Mus musculus: one gene and its partner. The protein of the gene in region 1 interacts with the protein of each later gene in a pairwise test. Links are inferred from orthologs where the notes say so. Each region holds a gene or a part of one and is shown on either strand. Other genes may lie near its edges.

What was found.
Region 2: the proteins of Pdik1l (region 1) and A430005L14Rik interact in binary tests that used the Homo sapiens proteins (3 or more experiments, as listed by UniProt). The two-hybrid records come from large-scale screens. The link is inferred for Mus musculus from reciprocal best matches to the Homo sapiens genes PDIK1L and C1orf174.

Annotation. Positions count from the first base shown.
Region 1 is NC_000070.6:134,273,882-134,285,728, forward strand, and holds the end of Pdik1l (serine/threonine-protein kinase PDIK1L), read right to left. Parts: intron 10,667-11,847; 5' UTR 10,650-10,666; coding exon 10,365-10,649; intron 5,236-10,364; coding exon 4,495-5,235; 3' UTR 1,121-4,494; downstream 1-1,120.
Region 2 is NC_000070.6:153,956,075-153,968,383, reverse strand, and holds A430005L14Rik (UPF0688 protein C1orf174 homolog), read right to left. Parts: upstream 11,148-12,309; 5' UTR 11,077-11,147; coding exon 11,062-11,076; intron 8,636-11,061; coding exon 8,522-8,635; intron 7,854-8,521; coding exon 7,392-7,853; intron 6,895-7,391; coding exon 6,793-6,894; 3' UTR 6,459-6,792; downstream 1-6,458. Other genes in the region: Dffb (DNA fragmentation factor subunit beta), read left to right, coding at 2,771-3,014.

The DNA of each region.
Region 1 (11,847 bases):
GTCTCTGAGTAGCCCTGGCTGTCCTGGAACTCACTCTGTAGACCAGGCTGGCCTTGAACTCAGAGATCTGCCTGCCTCTCCTCGGGCTTAAAATTGAATTTTAAAAAAGATAATCAGGTGCAAAATCTGTTTTCAGAGGCTCTAGCTGCTGTAGGAGGCAGGCCAGGGGCTTGCTTCCTGTCCCTCAGCTTTTCCACTGCTACTCAGGAGATTGTATGCTGAGGCAACCATACATTTTACAAAAGAAACTGGGCTGGCAATGGCAATTTTTCCCCCTGAGGTTTCTCCTTGATGTCTGGCCTAGAACTCAGTATGTAGAGCTGGTCAGCTCAAAATTCTCAGTTGCCTGGCCTGGCTCCCAAGTGCTGGAATCAAAGGCATGGGCCACCATGCTCAGCTAAACCCTACTTCTTTACAAGTCATTGCCTCATGTTATCAATTGAAATTGCATCCACTTAGTACATTTAATAGAAATAGGATAAATGGAAAAAAGAATCTGTGGGTTAGAGAGATGGTTCAGTGGTTAAGACCTCTTGGAGGACCTTCGGTTCAATTCTGAAGCATCTACAAGGAGGTTCACATGGAACTCCAGTTGCAGCGGAATCTGAAACCTTATCCAGCCTCCTTGGGCACTGCATGCACAGTGGGCAGACATATGTAAGTAAGACATTCACACACAGAAAATACCTATTTTAAAACAAGAGTCTTTTTGTTTTTGTTTTTTGTTTCTTGTTTTTTGTTTTTTCGAGACAGGGTTTCTCTGTGTAGCCCTGGCTGTCCTGGAACTCACTCCGTAGACCAGGCTGGCCTCGAACTCAGAAATTCGCCTGCCTCTGCCTCCCAAGTGCTGGGATTAAAGGCATGCGCCACCATGCCCTGCGAAACAAGAATCTTAAACAATACATACTTCTCTTAAAAAGCAAAAATAGCCAGATAGCATTACGGTTGCGGAGAACTTGAAATGATATACAGTCTTGTAATCCAATCACGGTCCTTGGCAACCGCTTCTAGGAGAGAATTTTTTACTCCACAAGTGTAAATACTTTTCCAGGATGTAGGTCACTTCACACTCATCACTTAGAGAACTGTACAACTCAAAGTAGCAAGAGAACTTTCAAGGTTTTTTGTTGAAATTCACTTTATTAAAAAAAAAAAAACCAAAAACCTCATGAACAATAAATTACAATACTTTCCCCCTTTATAAATTCTTCATAAAATATATTTGACAATTTTAAAAGAAAAGTTTTAAAGTTGCCTTCTTTTCTGATGTGCTGATGACATCTTTTTTTTTTTTTTTTTGACTATTTTGTCATGCTGGTGAATTATTTTGTAGCTGCTACAATAGTTTGATTGGTAACATTTTACAATTAAAAACAAAAACCCAGACCTGCAGAAAGAACTATTCTGTGCTATTTTTCTGACACTTAACACTTACTTCATCAGAATGACAAAGTATCCCTTAGCACCAAGAATCTACAGAACCCCATGTTTCTAAGTGACAACAGGTGCAAATTAATAGCCTAGGAACTAACTGTACAACCCTACAGTGACTGGACACAGCTGCCTATAAGCTTTAGTGGAAATATTTGGTCTTTTTTTTTTTCAATTAAGACAAATTTCATAAAACACTAGAAACCATGGCAACAGACTATGAGGGATAACTGTTTATTGAGTACCTATTATGGGCAAGGCACTGTGCACAATTTCTTGATTGCATTTTTTCCTTTAGCAATTATCCAAAATTCCCAAGTATCACTCGTCTTTTATGTCTTATATGCGTCTGAAGAAAGTGCATGACTAAATGCCATTTTTAAAAAATGGTTTGTCTTTATTCTTTAAATTGTGTGTGTGTGTATGTGCATGAGTGTGCATGCGCAAGTGCACATGGAAGCAAGAGGGTATTAGGTCCCTGGGAGCTGGAGTTAGGTGGCTGTGAGCCACTCAACATGGGTGCTGGGAACTGAGTTCCAGTTCTGTGCAAGAGCATTAAGTCCTCTTAATGGTAGAATCCTCTCTCCAGCCCCTACAACTGCAAATCTTAAATGGTTGTCGTATCAACTAAACTTAAGTGCTGAGCACACAGTAGGTACTTAATAAATACCCCTGACTGAACGAACAAAGACAAATCCCTGTCCTTTTGTTGATATCACAAGCTATTTCAGAAGACAAGGACTTAATGTTCTGGAAGAAATTTCTTGATCACCTCACACCCTTACCGATAATAAAGAATTCTAATTCACAGATAAAAATCTTTCAAAATAAATTATAACTGGGGCTAGACATTTAGCTCAGTGCTAACACCTTTGTGTAGCACAAGCAAGGCCCTGGGTATGATCCCAGCACCAACGAAAACAAAAGATAATTACTCATTATTTTCAAGGAGGCAGGATCAAAAGCTATGTGCTCAGGACACCACAGCTTCAAGTGCACAGGTATTTGTAGAGCCAAGAACTGTTGGCACACATCACATATCAATCTGATGAGGGCCAAGTCAATGGTAATCCATTATAATGAGACTTTTTCTAATTTCTTGTAACTCAATCCACGGGTCAGATCTGTGTCAACTTGGTGACCCACAGGGTCAATTACCATGAAGATCCAGGACATTTCTACCTCTTATTTCTGAAAGAATTCTTTTAGCTAAGTCTGCAAGTGATATTATGTGTATGTGACTTTTTCATTTGATAAGATTTTTTTTGTTAACTAAAGCCTTTCGGTTCACGTTTTTACACTTCCAGATTAATTCAGTCTAGGCGTTTTACATATTTCATTTTTTTTGTGAGGTTTATCTTTTATCACCTTCTGAACACACTAATGGATCTGTTGATTTTGTGATGGCAGGGATTGAATCCAGAGCCTTGTACATGCCAGGCAAGCGCTCTTCACTGAACCACAGCCAGACCTAATGTGACGGTATGGCGGTTCAAGCACTGAGGGGACAAGGAGAGTTGCTGATAACGGCAATATCCTGATAGTCTATTGCCTTTTGCATCTTAACGCTTAAAAAGATCCCCGTGGGGTTAGTGGTAGGCTACTTCCCTCACACCTAAGGCCCAAGGTTCTACCCCAGCACCGGAGGTGGGCAGCTAGTGCCTTATAAAGCCTCACCTGGATATAATGGTAGCTTCTAATTCATCCTAAAGACTGGTGTTCTGGTTTAAGAAAGAATCCTTTCCTTAATGTTCCTGGATTAGCAAGAACAATCTGGAGGCAACCATGCAGTTAGACTTTCCCTTCAGGAGTTGAGTCTCTTGCTTTCTGACAGATGCCAGGTGACCATATGAAAACGACAACTTTTCTACTTGAAAAGCAGTTGAGGGCATAGAATTTTATCCATTTGCATCGTCTCTCACTTTGGAAGAGAGCGACCAGTATTTGTGACAGTGATTACCAGTCCCATTACTGCATCACAAGACAAGAGAAAACAGCATCACTGTCAAAGTGACAGAGACTCCAGTGATCCAACAGGAAGCCACACCAGGGCCAGCAACTCCAGGGTGAGCTCATTTGGTTTCTTCGACTTTATGCTGAGATTTAGAAAAAGTCTTAAAACTCAAAATTAATAATCAAGTATTACAGTTGTGTAACGCAATGTTTTCAGAACAGAAGAACACGTCCTCGGGTTACAGCAGATGCTCAAGTGCCCGCATGGCCCAGTGCAGTGGTTTAATTACTCAAACAAATGCTCAGCCACCTGAAGGTAGGCACGAGCCGTGAGACTCCATGACTGATTCAACTTGGAAGAGCTACAGGCCCTGCAGAGCTCTAACGCACCCTGCGGCTTACACCTGCTTAGCTTCAGTTATCGTTCATCAGCCATTCTGACCCTCCAAAATGATGCCTTTAAAAAAGAGATGTATACTGGGAAAACAACAAAAACAACAACAAAAATACCCTTAGTATGTTTCCAGTAGCAGAAGGAGTAGGGACGAAGATGAGGGATGGTTTGTGTGGTTTTTATCACCAATTTCATCAGCAAATCTCAAAAACCCAAACCTGTATCAAATAATTTAAACAGACGTGGCATTTTCTTCATGTGGAATGCAAAATGCACACATTCACATACTGACATATACATAAATATATACATATATGTTTCCTTTACAAAGCTTCGAAGGTTGCATTACCAGCACGCAAACCTCTTCTTCCATGGAAATGCCTAATACTGACAAGGAATGTCTAAAATACTTAAAGATATTTCTAGAAAATGGGACTTTCTTCTCTGCTTGGCTCCTAAGAGAATTTTTTTCTGCCAACCTTTTACCAATGATCATTAAATAAAATTTTTTTACAGCCACATTGGTAATACACATTCAAAACATACAATAAAATGGCCTGCATGGATTAAGAAAAATGAGAGAGAAAATAAAACTACCCCACAATAAAACCTAAACCCTTAGAAAGTGGAATCTAACTTCCGTCTTCTTTTCGGCCATGTGATGTATTTCCATCGACTCTGAAGCAGCACCGTCTAAGATGCTTGCAAGCAGTAGGTCACGTCTCCCAGCTGCTGTCTTTAAATGCAATTTGGACTAATCTGAGTTCTAGTTCAAAAGCATCAGGGCGATCCTGAGGGTTTGCGGCCAGCATTTCCTTTATCAGTTGTTTCATTCGCCCATTCATAGACTTTTTCTTCACAGGGATGAGAAGTTCCATTTTGGGGTTTTCCAGAAGTGCCTCCCCAACAGGCACAATTTCAGTCCCCTGCTTTACGTAACTCCCCAAGAGCTCCTTCTTTGTCTCCGTGTCTATGAAGGTGATCCTCTCCAGCATTGCCCAGATGATAATTCCCAGAGCAAAAATGTCAGCTTTGGCGGTGTAGTGTCCTTCCCACACTTCGGGAGCCATGTAGAAGTCCGTCCCGCATGCCGTGGAAAGGAAACACTTGTTTACACTGACAGGTTCTTCTGGGTTCTGCCCAGATGCTGAGCAAACTTTACTTAGGCCGAAATCAGCCACTTTGAGTGTGGGTTCCAAGTCACTGGTGTCCATCCTGCTCTGGGAAATGAGGATGTTATCAGGCTTCAGGTCTCGGTGGATTATCTGGTTTTTGTGCAAGAAGGCCAGAGCACTGCTGAGCTGAAGCATGAAGCTGGTGTTAGTCTTTCGATTGGGTTTCCTGGACAACAGGTACTCATTCATATCTCCTCCGTCACAAAAATCCATCACAAACCACAAATAATAGGCGCTTCTGGGATCAAAGGCAATTTCTCCTTTTAATGAAGTCTCTACAAGCTGTGAAGGATGGGGAGAAGAGTAGTAGTTTAAGATGCACAGAGGTTGAAAGGGATGGAGATACAGCCCAGCAGTTCTGAATTTACTGCTCTCACAGAGGACTGCAGCTCAGGTCCTCAATAAGCATGGTGGTGGCTCACAACTGCCTGCACTATCGCCCCAGTTTCCTGGCTTCTAAAGGCACCTGCACTGACACATACCCCCTCCCCCAACATAATTAAAAATTAGTAAGTCTTTTTTATTTGTTCATGTTTTTGTTTTATTTTTTGAGACGGGGATTTAGACAGGGATAGCCCCGGCTGTCCTGGAACTTGCTCTGTAGACCAGGTTGGCTTGAACACAGAGATCCTCCTTCCTCTGACTCCCAAGAGCAGGGATTTAAGACTTGCACCACCACCACTAGCTATAAATCTTTTAAAAATATACTAAAAAGAAAGAAGGAAAACGTTAGGTCAATCTGCAGCTTGCTGCCAGGCAAAGTTTCTTTTTTTTTCCCCCCGAGACAGGGTTTCTCTGTGTAGCCCTGGCTGTCCTGGAACTCACTTTATAGACCAGGCTGGCCTCGAACTCAGAGATCTGCCTGCCTCTGCCTCCTTAGTGCTGGGATCAAAGGCGTGCGCCACCACCGCCTGGCCTTCTTTTTTTTTGTTTGTTTGTTTTTTCAGGCAAAGGTTTCTTAAACTGAATGTAGAGGTCACAAAAAATTGGCAATAGTGAAAAGTTTAGTGAATGTTTAGCTACCAAAAATGAACTCAAAACCAAACTGTATATTTACTACATTTACAAAGTTGCCTGTTCTTATAGCAACGTAATGGTTTAATTGGGGGAAAACAAAGACTTCTGATATTTTTCTACTGTCATTCATCAGCAAGCAATTAACCAAAGTAATTTACCAGTGGATTGTTATGGTATAATGCCTAATTTAGGTACCATTTTTTTTTTCTTCTTTTCTTCTGAGACAGGGTCTCAAGTAGTTCACAAAGGCCTCAAACTCATTGAATAGTTCATGGTTGGCCTCCTGCTTCCATGTCCAGTGCTGGAATAACAGGTCTGTGTGTCACTACACCTAGCTCAAGCAATCTCAAATTTAAGGCCAGCCTTAGTTATATAGTGAGATTGTCTCAGGGAGAGAGAAAGAAAAACAGAGGTTAAAAATTGCTATTTGGGGCTGGAGAGATGGTTCAGTGGTTAAGAGCACTGACTGCTCTTCCAGAGGTCCTGAGTTAAATCCCAGCAACCTCATGGTGGCTCACAACCATCTGTAATGGGATCTGATGACAACTTCTGGAGTGTCTGAAGACAGTTACAGTGTACTTACATATAATAAATAAATATTTAAAAATAAATAAATAAAATTGCTATTTGGCCGGGCAGTGGTAGCACACACCTTTAATCCCAGAACTTGGGAGGCAGAGGCAGGCGGATTTCTGAATTTGAAGCCAGCTTGGTCTACAGAGTGAAAAACCAAAAAAAAAAAGAAAACAAAAAGGAAAACTTGCTATGTGAAGGCAGGTGTGGTGGCACATACCTGTGATCCCAGCACTACAGAAACAGAGGCAAGAGGCTCACTGGAAAGTGTTAGGACAGAATTTCCAACAGTTTCTGACTCTGCCTTAAACATATGTCTACCATTTTGTACTAATATAGTTATGTGAAGCACTGTTCTCACCACTGATTTTTATAAACTACAAATCAACTGTGGAAAGTGCTAAAGATGCTAAATATTCAAGCCAAATTCTCTTTTTAAAAAACGAGTTTAATTGTGTCAGAGGATAACTCTCCTGCCACTCTATGGGACCTAAGGATAGAAGGCAGGTTGTCAGGTCTGCATGTGAGTGCCTCTGCCCACAGTGCCACCTTGTCAGTCCAAGATTTACCTCTATGTAGAAATAAACAGGGACATTCACTTCAGTAGTGTACTGTTTGCTTTCTACTTTAATAAAAGGTAAAACTATATTTATACCAAAGGATTGCTCTAAAGTGACATTATTTATGATTCAGTATCAGCATGTTTGATTTATGTTTTACACACGCAGGATTGTGCATGTTTTTCTGGTGAGAGGGCCTGAGTGGAAGGGTTGGGAAGCCCTGCTCTGCCAGTCAAGCCCTAATCTCCAGCTTTAACTGAAAACCTCAAGAATATTTTATTTCATCTGTGTTTTTATATATGCATTAAATTTTTTTTCAGGGCTGGAGAGATGGCTCAGCAGTTAAGACCACTGACTGCTCTTCCAAAGGTCCTGAGTTCAAATCCCACATGGTGGCTCACAACCATCTATAATAAGATCTGACGCCCTCTTCTGGTGTGTCTGAAGACAGCTACAGTTTACTTATTTATAATAATAAAAAATCTTTGGGCTGGAGCAAGCGGAGCTGACTGGAGCGAGTGGGGCCTAAATTTAAAAAAAAATTTTTTTTTTCCTTTTTTCAGTACTTCAAAATGCCACCTTTGTAGCTGTATTTTGGAAAGTGCCCAACTGGCTGACATTTTCTATATATGTCAATAAAGCTGAGTTTTCTAACCACCTAGCTCATCGCTTCATGAACATACTAAAATATAGAGGTATATTGTTTTTAAATTATATTTTTATGTGGTGTCTAAAAAGAAAAACAAAAGGGGAAGACTGGAGTGAAGCTGTTAAAGAATGAGCAACTGGTAAGTTTATGTTACAATCATTACACTTACTAATCACTATTACTACTTCGTGTGGATATTCTGGTAAGTTTACATTACAGTCGTTACATTTACTAATCACTATTACTACTTTGCGTGGTTATTCTGGAAAAAGCCAAGAACAGCCTCCACCTGCTTCCCCTGGCAGAGGGCAGCAATGGTGATGGCCTGCAGGAACCTCCTTGCTGTATGGTGTGCCAGTGCAGAGAGTCTGAAACACAGGTGTGCTATTCCTGACTTTAGTTTTTCTGTGTTTACCCTAAAATATAAACTTAATAAATAGCTTTGTGTAAGGCAAAATACCAGTGCTCAGACAGTGGTTTAGAAGGTGGTGTATACAATACTAGCTTGCAAGAAGAGAAATATATAGTTTTCACCCACGTATCTAGATAATGCTTGTCAGATTCTTCTTCTTTTTCAAGCCCCTAGATAGGCTCTCACTCTGTACCCAGAGTCTGTAGCCCAGCCTGGCCCTGACGTCATGGACTCCTGTCGTCTTCTGTGTCAGGATTACACTATGTGTGCAGCATGTCCAGCAGCTCACAGCTCTTCAGCCCTGAGACGTATCAGATTCCCCATGATATGTTCCTATGCCATCTATGTGTGTCATTTGTCTGACATAGACAGACTAGAGGGCGAAATTAAGCCCTAGTAACTGCTTTACATTTTCTCTCGGATGGGGTTTTTAGCTATTAGGAACTGGTTTAGTGATTCCAACTGAGAACAAGGAAAAAAACATAAAAAATGAAAATTTATGAATAAAGGCCATGCGTAGGGACTCTCTGATTATGTTACAGATTTGTTTATTGATTTTTACTGTATTGTTTTGATACAATTCTATTGATAAATATATGGTCAATTCGCTGGGTGTATGGTAGTGTACCGTTTTAATCCCAGTAGAGGCAGAAGCAGGTGGATCTCTGTAAGTGTAAGGCCAGTCTAGCCTACATACTAAGTCACAGGTTAGCCAAGTCTAAGGTGACACTCTGTCTCAAAAATAAATGAATAGATAAAGAAAAATCAGGCTCACTTAGTTTCAACACAGGTACCTATTTCCGAGTTCTTATATGCCAAACTAGCGTCAGCCTCCTCTCTGACTTGTACGAGGTCATAAAAGGCAGAAATGAACCACATATGAACAGAGAGCTACTAGAAAAGTTGGGTTATTTATTTCAAGACATTCTGACAGCAGAAAGTGTCATAAATCAAATACAGGTACCTAAGGCTTTAAAGGGTAAAATTGACTCACTAAAGAGGCAACTTGAGTACAAAAATCACTTTAGTCTGGTACTTCATATCGTAAACTAGAGAAAACCCAATTATTATGATGTCGCTCCTAGATGTGGACCTGGTACTGTGTCAAATGTGTTTGTATCTTTACTTCTCCACCTGAAGGGGTTGTGCATCTTAGTCTCTGCAGCTTAAAGGAAGGGATGGAGTTTATGTAGGACGCCCCAAACCCTAGGCTCCATCTCTAGCACTGGCGAAAAAGGAAAAAAAGACAGAAATATTTCCAATATTTTTATCATGGCAACCTAAGTACTTTTAGAAAAGTAAATACTATAAATTAGCTTCTAAATTTCTAAAATTATTTTGTTTTGTGTGTAGGGGGAACTACGAAACACTCATGGAGGTATGAGAACAACTTCTCAGGTGTTCAAGTCCTCTTTCTACCATGAGGGACCTGAGACCTGAACTTGGGTCATCAGCCCTGGCAACAACCCCTTTATCCTCTGAGCCTTTTACCAATCTAAACATCGTTGTTGTTGGGTTTTTTTTTTTTGTTACTATATTTTAATTGTTAAATTATATTTACTTTCTTTATGTATGTGTTTACAAATATGTGTGTGTGTACGTGTGTGAATGCTTACATGTGTGCATGCCACAGTGCAAGTGTGGAGGTCAGAGGACAGCAGACAGCGGACAGCTTCTGTCCTGGAGCTCAGGATTCAGCCTAGGAATGTCTAAAGTCAATATACAGGTGAGTCTGGCCTTGAACTCTCCAGCCCCCTGCCTCCACCTTCCAAGTACTATCGGCATGTAGCAATTCACTCATCTAAGGCTTATTATTTTTAGACCTGTGACTTAGGGAAGTCCAGTTACCATTGGTGTGACTATTACTGATTGTGCTATTTTTTTCCTCGTCTTCTGAGTTTATTTTCAAAATAACTGGTTTCCAGGAACTGACCTTAGATGCTGGTCTCAAACCTCCTCTAGTTCTCATCTTGTTCTATTGCTATGCAGACTGGTTAAGTACCAGGCATAGCAGGTGGCTTGCGTTACTTTGAGGTATGCGAAGCACAAGTTTAAGGCAGACACCCCCTTCCTCTACAGACCGTTACGTACACCTAGGGAACCACAGAACCCCTGCCTCTTAGGGAGCCAAAGCTCATCTGGCCCTTTGGTTTCTCTTGCTGACCACTCTTAGGTCCATTTCCTATGCAGTGACACATACCTGTAAATAAAGGGAAGAATTAGAGCCGTGGGACATCTTTTGCACCATCCCATCCTTCTGTAGGATGCACTCTTCCAAGTGAATCACATTTGGGTGTTGGCTCTTGATACTGCTTAGTGCCCAGAACTCTCGAAGAGCTAGTTCAACATTTTCAGGCGCGTGGCATCGAATTTTCTTCACGGCTACTCTCGCAGAGGTCTTTCTGATGACTGCTTCATACACAACACCGTAACTACCTCGGCCTACCTCCCGTATTAGATCGTACTTTGGCTGGCTACTCACCATCTTCAAGGTCGAGGTTTCTGGAAAAATCAACAAAGTGCTCTGCTGAAATCAGGTGGACCTATTGGCTTGTATTCTTACGCATGCTTTACCCATCTGTTTCACTTTCTGTGGTACTCAGAAAGTATTTAGCTAGGCTTTGGACCAATCTATCAATAATAATAAAGGTAATAGCACTTACCATGTATCATGAACTATTTCAAGAACTTTAATTTTTAAAGTTTTTGTTTTTGAGACAGGGTCTTGCTAAGTTTCCCTGGCTTGGAGCTTGATGTATGAATTATGCTGGCTTTAGAAGCCATGGTTACAGTACCATCATCCCTGACTCTTATGTATAAGTGCAGGCATGCCCATGCCATGGCACACCCATTAGGAGAGAACCTTGGCTCTCCTGTCACTGCTACAGCATATGCCAGGGTAGTGGCCTGTGAACTTTGGACACTCTGTCTCTGCCACCCATCTCCCCACAGGAAGGCACATCTACCTTCACATGGGTTCTAGGGATCCAAATTCAGTCCCCCAGACTTACTCAGCAAATGTTCTACCCATTGAACTCTCTCCAGGCTCCACCCACCCACTCCTTTTTTGAACAAGATCTCACTATGAAACCCTGGCAGGCCTCCAACTCAGAGATAAGCCTGTCTCTGCTTCCCCAGTGTGGGATTAAAGGTTCATGTCACCATGCCTTGCTTCCGGTCTTGTTTCTTTTAAAAGACAGGTTCTTGTGATTATGTGGCTCAAGACGGCTTTCACATCTTTTAAGATTTTATTGTATATTTTACATATCTGTGTGTAGCTTTGTGTAAGTCAGAGGGCAGTATGTGGGAGTCAGTTCTCTCCTTCTACCATGTGGTTCCAGAAACTGAGCTCATGTTATATGGCTTGGCAGAACATAACTTTACCCACTGAGCCACCTCAATAGCCTTGGCTACCTTGGTCTTTGGAATGGTGGTATTACAAGTGTGTTAAGTAGCCAAACCTGGCTACTTTTATATTAAGTTCATTTAATCCTTAACTGCTTGAAAATGCCATTGTTAAAAATATATATATACCCGAAATTTGAAATTTCATCAAGAGGTGGTGGCTCACACCTTTAATCTCAGCGTGTAGGAGGCAGAGGAAGGCGGATCTCTGAGTTCAAGGCCAGCCTGATCTACAGAGGGAGTTCTAGGATACCCAGGGCTACAGAGAGACCCTGTCT
Region 2 (12,309 bases), about 20 Mb from region 1:
AGACATCCCTGGCTCTGACCTCCAGTCTCTTTGGGGGGAGTTAATGTCCGTGGTCCCCCTCGGAGTACTTCCAGCCTTTTCTGGGTGTTCAGTACACTGTAAGTCCCTTCCTGTCCTCACCACCACTTGGTGTCACTGTGCCTCTGTATTCTCCTGCCTGAGGTAGGTACCCACTTGGCTGCTTTTGTTTGATTCCTGGTCCTGGGGAGGCCCAGGCCTCTGTAGCTCTCCACCAGCACAGCTCATTCTCCCCAGCACAGCTCTCTCTCCCCAGCACAGCTCTCTCTCCCCAGCACAGCTCTCTCTCCCCAGCACAGCTCTCTCTCCCCAGCACAGCTCTCTCTCCCCAGCACAGCTCTCTCTCCCCAGCACAGCTCTCTCTCCCCAGCACAGCTCTCTCTCCCCAGCACAGCTCTCAGGCTGCTTGCTTTCTCTGTTCTTTACTTTTGTCCTGGGCACTAGTTCCCTCCTGACTGTCTGTGTGACAGATGTTGTTGCTGTATTTTTGGCACATTTTTGATATCTTGTATCATAACCAGATGGGGTGGCTGTGGTAAGCCCTAGAAGGCCAGGCCCCAGTGTGCACAGATCCTGCAATTCCTCCTGCAGATGCAGGGGCATCTGCTTGCCCCTGTTGTCTGCAGCTGCCTCTGCCCTGCCCTGCGCTTAGCTGCAGGGGTTGTCTGCTTTTATTTTCACTTCTAGTTTCTGCTCCTTTGGGCTTTCTCTCTGTTTCCTAGATTTGCCTCTTGTGTTTTCACGTCTGCTCAAGGCAACATGTTGTCCAGCTGTTCTGAGGTTGCTATTTTGAGATTAAGGTGGCTGCCTTTTCTGGTGTGTCTTTGGCCTGTCTGTCTGTCTGTCATTTTATGCTGCTCTGCTCATCCTTTCTGGGCTCTGGTACCTGTAAGAGGCTGGGACTCTGCATGTCCACCCTGCTTTCTGTCTCACCTTCCCTGGGCTAGGTTTTTGTTACCTTCACAGCAGGCGTCTCTTGTTAGCACATTAGTAGCAACAGCACACCACCTTTTGTCTTGTCTAACTGAGACTCTCCTACTCTGGTCCCTTGTTCCAGTTGTCTACACATAGTGGCTGTTTAGCATCTATTCAGTATTTCATTGCGTGAATAAGTGGGTTTGAATTAATCTCATTAGCCATTTGCTGTACCTCCTGTGTGCCTGGTCTCACTGTATGTCCTGAGCCCGCCTGTCACCCCTCTCTTCCAGGGCTCTTTTCTCAGCATTGTCCCACCTGACCTTGAGCTTACACGGTGGTCATATCATCATGGTCAGTACCTACTTACATCTCCCACTCCTCTGCTCACTGCCTCCTGCCTCTCCCTGGTCTGCTCTGAGTTGCTAATGATTGGTCCTAGCGCTTCGGTAAGGAGGGCCTGAGGGTGAACTCTCTCTTGCCACTTCTACCCTGAGTACTGGAGAGGGGCTGTCTCACACTGAGTGTGGTGTCACTGGCATCTAGGTGTCCTGTGCACTCCGTGAGGGAGACTCATCACTGTTTCCTGGCATCTGCTGTGGACCTGCTGTCAGTCAGCATTCTGCCTCTGGTGGAGATTGGCTTGAGTCCCTTAACTGAGAGCAGTGTACAGTACAGACAAACCTTTCCTTTTGGCTCTGCCGTGGCTTGTCTTCCATGCTGGAGAGTTCTGATTCTCCTCTGCAGTGTCCTGGATTCCCGTGGGCATTCTGGGACCTTCTTGCCACCCACTGTCTTTATGCTGGCTCTGCTTGCACACTCTGGCTCAGTGCTGCTGTTTTGGGGTAACTTCCTGCTGTGGATTCAATTGTGGTTCCTCCCACCCCCCACACACATTGTAACTGTCACCTAGTGAGACCGTATCTGGAGATGGGTCCTTTGAGAGACAGCTAAGGTGAAGTGAGGTCATAGCAAGCAGAAAAATCCAGAGCTGTTAAACATGGAGTTAAACACGGGGGAGGTGGTTTGCCCTCCACTCATCTGTTCTTGCGACTGTGTTTGGACCTGAAGTTCTCTCTCGTGACCAGTCTTCTCTTCTGGCTGTCAGTGTCTCTGGGGCACAGAGTGGATCTGTCACCCCTCTCTTCCAGGGCTCTTTTCTCAGCATTGTCCCACCTGTGGATTGCCCCAGTTTCAGTGGCTCTGAAGCAACATGACATTGTCTTTGCTTGCCACTTCTGTCACATTGGCCATACCTACTTGGCTCATGTGCCTGTGGGAGACACAGGCCTGGGGTCTATGGGCAGCTGTGTGACATGGGTACAGGAACAAGCAGGAGTCAGCAGGGACTGACAAGTGCTCGCTCACACATGAGGCTTGGCTCCGTTGAATGGCATGCGAGGGACCCCTCTCAGCTTTCCCCACACTCCTTTCAGTATGGTAAGCTGCGCCCACTACTCAGGTTTGCAAAGTAAGACAAGCAGCATTGCTTGCGCTGGAGTCTGTACACCGTGGCCACCCATGGCCCATGTCAGGGATGGGCCAGTGTCAGCAGCCCACGGAACACGGTGCTGGACTCCTCTGGTGACTCATCCCTAAGTCCTGTCATTTTCTCAGTTGAGGTGCCCTCTTCCTAGATGACCCTAGCTTGTCATATTGACAAAAACAAAAAAAAAAACCAAAAAAACAAAAGAACAGTCGGGACTGCAGGAGGTTGCCTGCCGTGGTAGACACTGCATCCACAGACAGCGAGTGTCTGTGGCTCACGGGAGCGTGCACAGCAGCCCGTAGTGTGTGGCACTCACAGTAGAATGGTTGTCTCCCCCTGACTTGGTAGAATAGAGAAGAAGCGCACCGTGGTACCCACGCTGGCTGAAGCCATCCAGGATGGGAGGGAGGTGAACTGGGAGTACTTCTACAGCCTGCTCTTCACTGCCGAGAACCTGAAGCTGGTGCACATCGCCTGCCACAAGAAGACCACACACAAGCTGGAGTGCGACCGCAGTAGGATCTATCGGCCTCAGACAGGATCCAGGAGGAAGCAGCCTGCTCGGAAGAAGCGCCCTGCTCGGAAGCGCTAGTGACACAGCCCAGTGTGCAGAGGACGGTCAGTGCCGGTGCTCATCGTGTTCCTGTGGCAGGGTCTTCACGCTCACCGCCCCAGGGCTGAACTTGGCCACTGTGATGTGTGTGGGGTGCTAGTTTGTGCTGAGCTTTTATGGCTTCTATTTCTACTGCAAATGGCAGCTCTGACTATACGCCTCTGAAAGAAACGGTGCTTCTGGGATAAATGTTTGCATTTTATAACGAACATGCAGGACATCCTCTGCTGCATTGTTTAAAATGGCAGAAGGTGGGAAGCCATCCAGATGTCTCCTGGTGTGAACAGCCAACTGTGGCATTATTTTGAGCCATGTGAAACTGATGTTTTTAATGGGTTAAATAATGGCTGTCATGAATTTCATGACTCAACACTGATATATGTATGTACGCACGATTGGAGCAGGTTTAAACTTTCATGTGGAGAAATAGGGAACTGTTAAAGGCATAGATGGCTTTATCTGTGCAGGGAATGACCTTGAACTCATGATCTTCCTGCCTCATCCCTAGAGCTGGGACCACAGGTGTGCACCACCACACCTGGCATTTGGTTTTGTAAATGTGTGTCAGCTTGTGCATGGTCTGAGGAAATGACACTCTGTAACCCTGGGGGATTCAGCAGGGCTGAGATTGATCACCAAGTACAATCTCCTACATCATGTATTTTATAATACTTCATTCTGCTTTTTCTCTGAGACCGGGTCTCACTATGTAGCTCTGGCTGGACTGGAGTTCACTATATAGACCAGCCAACCTCTGCCTCCCGAGTGCTGGGATTAAAGGTGTGTGCCACCACGCCCAACCTGAGTTTATTTTTGAAATGGGCATTTTATATATTTTGTAATGTTTGGATTTTTATATTTGCCATGTAATCAGAAAAACAATAAAGTGTTTCTAAAATAGACATGTCAAAATTTTTTGAACATATTGAGGAAGATGGGGCTAAGGGTGAGATACTGGCAGGCAGAAATTGAACATTTATCTAGGTGAGTTCATCTTCACAGAGGTGGCAGGGCAGTGCCCGAGGCAGCCAGCCAGGTGGGGCTCTCTGAGGACCCAGCTGCTTGTCTTAGTCATGGATGCACACTGTTCACAATGTGTCTTATTCTGCTTTTCTGTCCTTCTCAAACACCCCAGGACGTGCACAATCACTGCCCCCTACAGAATTGTTGCCAGGACTGGGCTTTCTGAAGTTTGATGTGTGTGTCTGTGTGTGCGTGTGTGTGTGTCTGAGTGTATGCTAGTGCACCTCGTGAATGCAGGTGCCAGGTCGGTACGATCGGGTACCTTGGAACTAGAACTGCAGGGGGCTGTGAGCCATTATGTTGGAGTTGGAACCCAGTCTGGGTCCTCTGTGGAGCAGCAAGTAGAAGCTGAGCCTTCTCTTCAACCTCAGGTTTGCCATTTGTGGCCTCTGTCAGCCATGCCCCTGCCGGTGTGCTGGTGTGCTCTGCACCCCTTTTGACCGGAGGTTCTGTCTCTCCAGTGGGATGCAGAACACTCATTGCAGCTGGAATGAAAAATGAGCCTTGAGTGAAAGGCAGAAGGTTGTCCTAGGTGGGACATGTTTTCCTGCTTCTGGGCCCTCAACTGGTTGCTGATGAGAAGTATCGCAGATAGGAGCTGTCATCCAAACCCCTCCTGACTCCCAGGATAATGTAGGCAGTGAGCCCCAGAAAAAGTGAACCAAAACATATGTAGTGACTCAGATGAGCTGTCTGCCCCATGACTTTGTCACACAGTGAGAGATGGCAGAAAAGCCTGGGACTCATGAGAGCATAGCAGGTATCAACTGCACAAGCTGAAGGGCAGCGAGCAAAAGGTTTAGAAGCCAGAGTGCTGTGAGCTGCTGCCAGCTACTTGGGATGAGGAGTGGGCTTTCATTCCTGAGCGAGGCAGGGCCACCAAAGGCATCTAGGAATGCTTCTGGCTTAAGCTGAGTCCAGAGAAGGAACTGTTCCCAGGAGGCTCTCAAGAGCTTGTCCCCTGTGCCATGGGGAACTCTGTCTGCCCCAGGCCTGGGCCCATTTGATCTTTGGGAAGACTGGAGTGGGAACAACAGGTCTTCAGCAAGGTACCAGGTGACTGACCTTCAAAACTATCCAGGGCCTGACTGGGCTGTCTCCCATTGTCTGGGGAACCTGGAAACCAGACTTGTTTCCTCTGGACCCTGCGCTGAGGCCCCCACTCCCACCTCCCCCATCCGCTACTGTCTGTTGGTGGCCTGCTATGTTCACGGCTCTCTGCATCTTGGTGCTTGTCTCACAGGTGCCCACGACTGGACCCACCTGCAGGTGCTCAACTGCAGAGGCACGGGGACAACCTGTGGAGGGCGATTCTTTCTACCATGTGGGGTCTAGGCGTTGAACTTGTATCAAGCTTGGCAGCAAGCGCCCTGACATGCTAAGCCAGCTTGGTGGACTTGCTTTGGTTTTTTTCTGTTCTTGTGTTGTTTGCTGCTGTGGACTGTAAGCACACACTGGAACCTCTCCCAGTATCCTTTGGGCCCGATCCCACATCTACCCACCACCGTCTGGACTTTCAGAGGATGCCTGTGTACTTGTAACTCTCCCTTCATGACAGGCCAGGGACTCGGGTCTGTGACTGCCTCCATCTCAACAGACCCTCCCAAATCCTCAAAGGGTTCTGGTAGCTTCCTTGGGTGGGCAACTGCTGAAACGGAGCTGACTGCATTCACATCATAAGACCAGTTAAGATGGCAACAGTGCTACTGCTGAGGCCTGCTGCAGGCATCTTCCCACACTGTGCCCATCAGCAGAGTGGGCTGTAAGCAAGGAAATGCGTACCCCAGGAAGGAAGCAAGGTGGCCACGGCACATCTGTCTCCTTGGTAGGTATACCGGGATCAAGGGTGTGCTGACCTTCAAGTCCTATGGCAACCACACAGCTGTCTCTTTCCCAGGGGCTGGCATCTAAGGCCATGCAGTGCTGCCCACGGCTATTGAACAATGACTGCAAGCAACAGCTTTAAATAGTGGTTCATCAGCCAATAGGTCACAGGTGACCTGAGCAGGTGAAGATCCTAATGAGAAAGGATCTCAGTGGAAGCTGAGGTGACTGTGTGTGTGTGTGTGTGTGTGTGTGTGCGCGCGCCCATGTGTGGGTGTGCGATCTGATGGGGGTGGGGTGGGCAGGCCTGTCTGAACAGGAGCAGAACTGTAAACTCCTCATAGGCTTGGACCACTTGTTGCTCTTGCTTAGGAGCCAAGTTCAATTCCCAGTACCCTTGTGGGTAGCCTCTATCCCAGTGGAGGGGCTGTCACCCCAACTCCAGTCAAGCCCTGTACCAAGGGCCTTGCCTTTCCTGCTTGCTAATGGGCCTCAAGAGTGCTCCTAGCCCAGGACACAGTTCACTTCCTCCCTTGATTCACAAATATTTGAAATGACACTTTTGTGAACACAGTATTTCTTTAAAAGTATTTTCAAAATATATTTTATTTCTTTCTCATATATACTTTGCAAAAACTACCAGGTCAAATGGTTAGCGCCACTCAGAAACAGGAGTCCTTCCAGCAGAATTCATCCCCGGTGATCAGTCTGGCATGGAAAGTAAGCCTGTTACCACAGCCAAAGCTCTCAGGAGTTTTCCTTGTTTTCCACTGCCCAGCCCCCTGTGCCAGCATGGTGCGCCTGGGCGTCTGTGCCAGCCAGTGACACTGATGTCCACCTTGTTCTCAGAGCGTGTTCTCTGAAAGATGCCATACAGAATCTTGACACCGGCTGCAAGGCGCCCGCAGCTCTACCCCTCAGCGTCATCCTCGTCATCTTTGGCTCTGAAGTGCATTTTTCTGAATTCTCTTCTGCTCATGGAAGGATAAGATGAAGAGGCTGGTGGCAGATCCTTAGAGGGGAAGAAAGCATGACTTCAGTCTTAAGTGAGATTGCCAGGGCATCCACATTCATACTTGGCCAGTCCGCTCCGGCTCTGCAAAGCAGGCCTGTTACAGACCCAGGAAATCTGTCTAGGCACAGGTCCCTTGGTAAGAAAGATGCTATACTCCAAACAAGAGATGACAACAGACATGGTCACATGTTCATGAAATCATAGATCTGAATTCCTAACCTTGTGTGAGGTCCAAGACACAGAGGGGGGGCTGAAGCCAGGGACGCTACCTTCTCAGCCTTTCCATCTGAGCTGCTTCCCAGCTTGTGAGCCTGTGTGTGTGTGTATGTGTGTATGTGGGTTACACACCATAGTTCATTTTTTCCCCTTGCATTAACATGATCAATTATGTTCACCTTGGTTTCGTGTACCATGGGTACACAATAGAGTGGGAGCAGGGAGCTGCAGTCTGGTGCCCAGGCACTGCAGGAGAGGCAGGAGGAGGCAACACTCACCTGCATAAGCTCGACATTCCCGAAGAAGCGACTCACAGGCATGGGCTGGTTGCTGTCATCATCTAGAAAGATGCTGCTGTCCATCTGAAGCACGGATGCCCGCACCTCCTCTGTCCTGGGCACAGGCTCTGCCTGTCCGGCAGAGCTGTCATCGGGCTCCTGGGCTGCAGCGGCACTGCTGGGTTCTGTGGACAGGCCATTCTCAGCCTTTACTGAGGGTTCCTCACTCGCAGGCGTGGAGCAGCCCTGAGGCGGCTCTCTGCTCTCTGGTACAGAGACAGCAGCCTCAGCACTGTCCTCCGCAAACTTATTTTCACAAGGAGCCACGGGGGCCACTTTTGGCAAAGAAGAAATGTCACTCTTAGGGTCAAGTTTTTGTAATTCTGCCTTCACAAGGTGACCTTTGTCATACTTGAACTTTTTGGAAGTTCGTCTGTCCGTAGCTTTGTGTGATGAGGAAGCCTGCCAAGAAAGAAAAATGTAAGAGAAAATCAGACCCATTAGCAGAGGCACAGGGCTCACAGTCCCAGAGGCTCCCATTCCTCCGCCAGAGACACCCGTGCCTAAGCCACTGGTCCCAGTCTGTTCTGCTGCTAAGGGGCAGAGCAGATCAGAGGCCAAGGAGGACTCCAGAGCACCGCTCCAGCAAGCTGCTTTCCCAGGCCTTGCTTTCCTAAAGTGCATGGTTGCTTACTTTAAAATCATCATAGGAACAAGCAAGAAAGCTTAGAGCATGAAGGTGCCTGCCGCCAAACTCATAAGCACCAACATAGGGATGAGGTTCCCCGACTAGGCAGCTGCAGTGGGACGTGCAGCAGACCATGAGTCCGTGCCTTGTGCCTGACTATTCCCTCTGCTTCAGGAGTGAAGCGGGTAAAAGACTCACACAGCTGGGCAAAGCCGTGCCTTAGTGCCTGGGTCACTAGCACACTTACACACACACACACGTATGGTGCACAAAGGTCAGAAGATCAGCTGTATGGCAAAGCACACGCCTCTGTGACAACAGTGACAGCACTGCCACAGCCTCTGGAACGTCTCCCAAGCTATACATAGCAGCAGCTTCTATTTCATACAACACATCTTAGAGTGACAACTTTAGCCTTGGTGTTCTTGGTAATGAGGCTCACCAGACATGTTGTTTTAGCAGATGTGGAGCTGGTAACGTCCCTGGCAGAGGCCAAGCTGGCTGAAGAGTAACTCCGGGCCCGAAGGCGTGCTGAGGACCGCACTCCACCTGTAAGCTAGACAAGAGTAAAGCTCAGAGAGCATGCTTATGGCGGAATGCCAGCCCAGAGCTGTTGTGGGTCCTCCACTTGGTGCCTGAGCTACCCATGGTCCTTCACCTACAAGCAAAGACGGCTATGCCCCAAGCTGGTTTGACCCAACTGTCCACTTAGGCACAGGGTTGAGCATCAGACGACTCAGTGGAAAAGGGAGCTGGTCACAAGGACTGAAAGGGTGTGCTCAGCTGCTAGGACCCAAACAGTGCAAGGAAAGAACTGTAAGCTGTCCTCTGACCTCCATGTGTGCTGTGGTACGTATGTTTCCAAGACCCAGCAGAACTGAGTGGACACACAAACTCATACCAATGTGTTCCAAATAAGGGTACACATTCTTTCTTGGAAGGCTCTCAAACTCTGTTTTGTTTTGGTTTTTTGGGACAGGGTTTCTCTGTATAGCCCTGGCACTCACTCTGTAGACCAGGCTGGCCTCAAATTCAGAAATCTTCCTGTCTCCGCCTCCCAAGTGCTGGGATTAAAGGCATGTGCCACCACTGCCTGACGGCTCTCAAATTATCTGGTGTCAAAGCCCATGACAATAGTAACACAAACACAAACACCAGCTCCTGCACTCATATCTCTACCCTACCCTAGTCCCAGGTCTTACATGATGATGATGTTGTTGCTGTTCTGGGATAACCTACTATGTGCTAGGCAGACTCTACTGCTGTGCTAAGGGCCTCGCCCACCTTTATTTACGTTTTATTTTTAGTATGGGGTCTTATGTGTCCCAGGCTGGCCTCTTATCTTGCTGTGAAGCTAATGAGAACCTTGCCCTCCTGAAACTGCCCGTGTTTCCCAAGTGCTGGGATTACAAATGTGAGCTTCACACCTGGCTTACGCTGCTCTGCTCGGGAGTTTCATGCACTCCCAGCCCCACCTCTGCCTGCCTGCCTGTCTTTTTCTTTTTTGTCAATTTCATTAAGTTACTCTGCTAGGTCTTGAATATAAAATACATCTGTCTTAGCCTCCCGAGTGCTGGGGTCACAGCCTGTTGCCATCACACACAACTGTGTCACATATCTTATTGCCCCAGCTGACCTAGAACTTCCTAGGTAGCCTAGGCTGGCCTTAACTCACACACCAGCACACATACATGTAAGGGACAACCAGAAAGTAGAAAAAGCAGAAAAAAGTATTTGAAGACAGAATGGTTGAAAGCCTCCTGTTCGTTGAAAACAATAACCTGTGACTGGGAAGTTTGTGACACAGGAGGGAGAGGATAATAAACACATGGCCAGGCCACCTCCCGGGGCAGTTCTCATCCTGGAGGTACCAGTAAAAAACAACTGCTTATTCTGCAGAAACAGTATGTGAACCACGGTGAGATCACTACCTGCACGAAACAAAATGCCAGCTAAGAAAATCCATACCCAGAAAACCTGTCCTCTAAGATGAAGGTGAGAATAAAGGAATTTCCAGATGCAAATGGGTGTGTGTGTGGAGGGGGGAGGGGGTGTTGCTTTAGAACCACCGGGAGTTCTAGCTGAAGCTAAGGACCCAATCAGTAATCCAGGTACAAAGGGCACCCTCGACCCCCAAGGAAAGTCCCTAACATAAAATTATCTTAAACATACTTCTCTGAACAGGCAAAAGAGGCACGTGCTAGCAACAGGCAGGAACAAACAAAGGGGGAGGGTCCGAGGGGCCCTTGCTGGCCTGAGGAAGTGGCTGCAAAGGGTAAAGTAAGGATTGCAAGGCTGCACTGTCAACAGACAGCTAACGGAAAGTGGGAGAGAACCTCACAAGAGTTAGACCCTTCTGTGTCTCACTGGAACCGAGGCGCGCAAAGAAGTAAAAAACACAGCGGGGAACTATTAAACCTTAATAAAGTCTCCTTATGCAAGGGAGGGGCAGCAACCATGACCACTGACACGGGGAACAGTTATTGTCAGCCTCGCTACACACAAACGTCTGCGCAACGCAAGAGGCAGGGACGTCAGCCTGGACTTTGGCTAGCGGTGCAGGGCAGACACACTTCAGGCTAAGGGACTCACTGTCCCTGCCATGCTCGTTCGGCCAGAGACCCTTTGCAGCCGGGGTTTAGGTCCCAGTCACCCTAGCTCCCGTCCCACTGCCCGCCCTCAGCCCAGGTTACACACGACACAGGGGCTTGGCTGAGCTCGCTCGGCTGCAGCACGCCCATCTGTGGGCAGTGCGAGAGGCCAGGAAGCCCGGGCAGTAGCCCGCACGGCCGAGGGCAAAGCTCGGGTCCCGGTGGCCCTCACCCCGGGGAGCGAGCCTGGAGCCCCGCGCCTGGGGCGGGTGGAGGTGCCTGGAGTGCGGGTTCCCCTCCCAGGGGCGGGGCTCGAGGCGCCCGCCCCCCGCCGGCTCCCCTGGGAGAGTGCGGCTCGGCGGCGCGCACCCCGCCTGCGGGGGCCCCTCACCTTCCTGCTCCTCATGAGTGAGCGCCCCGGCCTAACGCTCCTCCGCCAAGTCTCAATCGCGCGGCTCTGAGCGCGCGCGCGGCGTCTGATGTCATCGCCACGTCACCAATCAGGGGCCGGCGTCTCCAGGTCACGTGCTCTCCGCGTGCAGAGCGGGCAGCGCGCGCCTCCCCGACGGACGGCGAGCCGCGGGCGGAGCGCCGGAAGCTGGGCAAGGTTCCCGCCACGCTGGGAAAGGGACGTCTCCTTCGCGCGGAGGCCCGCCCGTTTTGGCCGCCATGTTTGGGAAGGGCACATCCCTGGGACCCCCGTCGCCGCCATGTTTGAGAAGGGCGGCTGCCTTGCTGCAGGCCTGTGCTCTCGGGTCTCAGGCCACCTTCAGCTCGGGTTCCCCTTCACCCCGAGGGAGGCGTTAGACCGGCCTAGCTCTGCCATCTGCCGGCACCTCACAGTCCACGTGTGAACTCTATGGTGGGAAGAGAGAGGAGACTCTTGCTACGTATCCTCTGACAATTACTGACACTCCCGAGTTACTCCCCATCTCAATAAATATAATAACAAATTGTTAGCATTCTGTCTAAACTCCACCCACAATATGCTCCTCCCCACAGTTAACTGGCCTGACCCACTTTTATAGGGGCTGCTTGTCCCCTCCTCCCTCTCTTAGTCTTGCTTCCCTCTTGCTTCTCTTCCTTGCTCTTGCTCTCCCCTTCCCCATTCCCTTCCCTTTCCACTCTCTCCAAGTGCTCATAGCCATGGCTGGCCTCTACTTCTCTACTCTCTCCCTCTCTCTGCCTTTCTCTGCCTCAATTACCCTCTTAACTCCTGTCTACCTTGAATAAACTCTATTCTATACTATACCATCGTGTGGCTGCTCCCTCAGGAGGAAGGGATGCCTCAGCATGGGCCCGCTGAGACATTCCCTTCCTCTAAACCTCACCACACCCCTATAGGACATATTCTTTCTGTCTTTATCTTTTTATAAACACATCAATAATAATGATGATAAATATTATAATTAGCTTCAAATACACATGAAACCTTTGGCCTCAGCCTCTGGTCCTGCTGGACAGCCTGGACAGGTAACCCTGGTCGCAGAACTCACAAAATGAACCAGACAGACATCACTGTTTTGACATCTTAAGGGTGAGACCAGAGAGTAAACTGCTCTAGGGTTTGGTTTCCCTTACATCCTGGAAGTCCTTGTCCTCTGCTCTGCCTGACCAGCTCTCTCCAAGCCCACTCCTC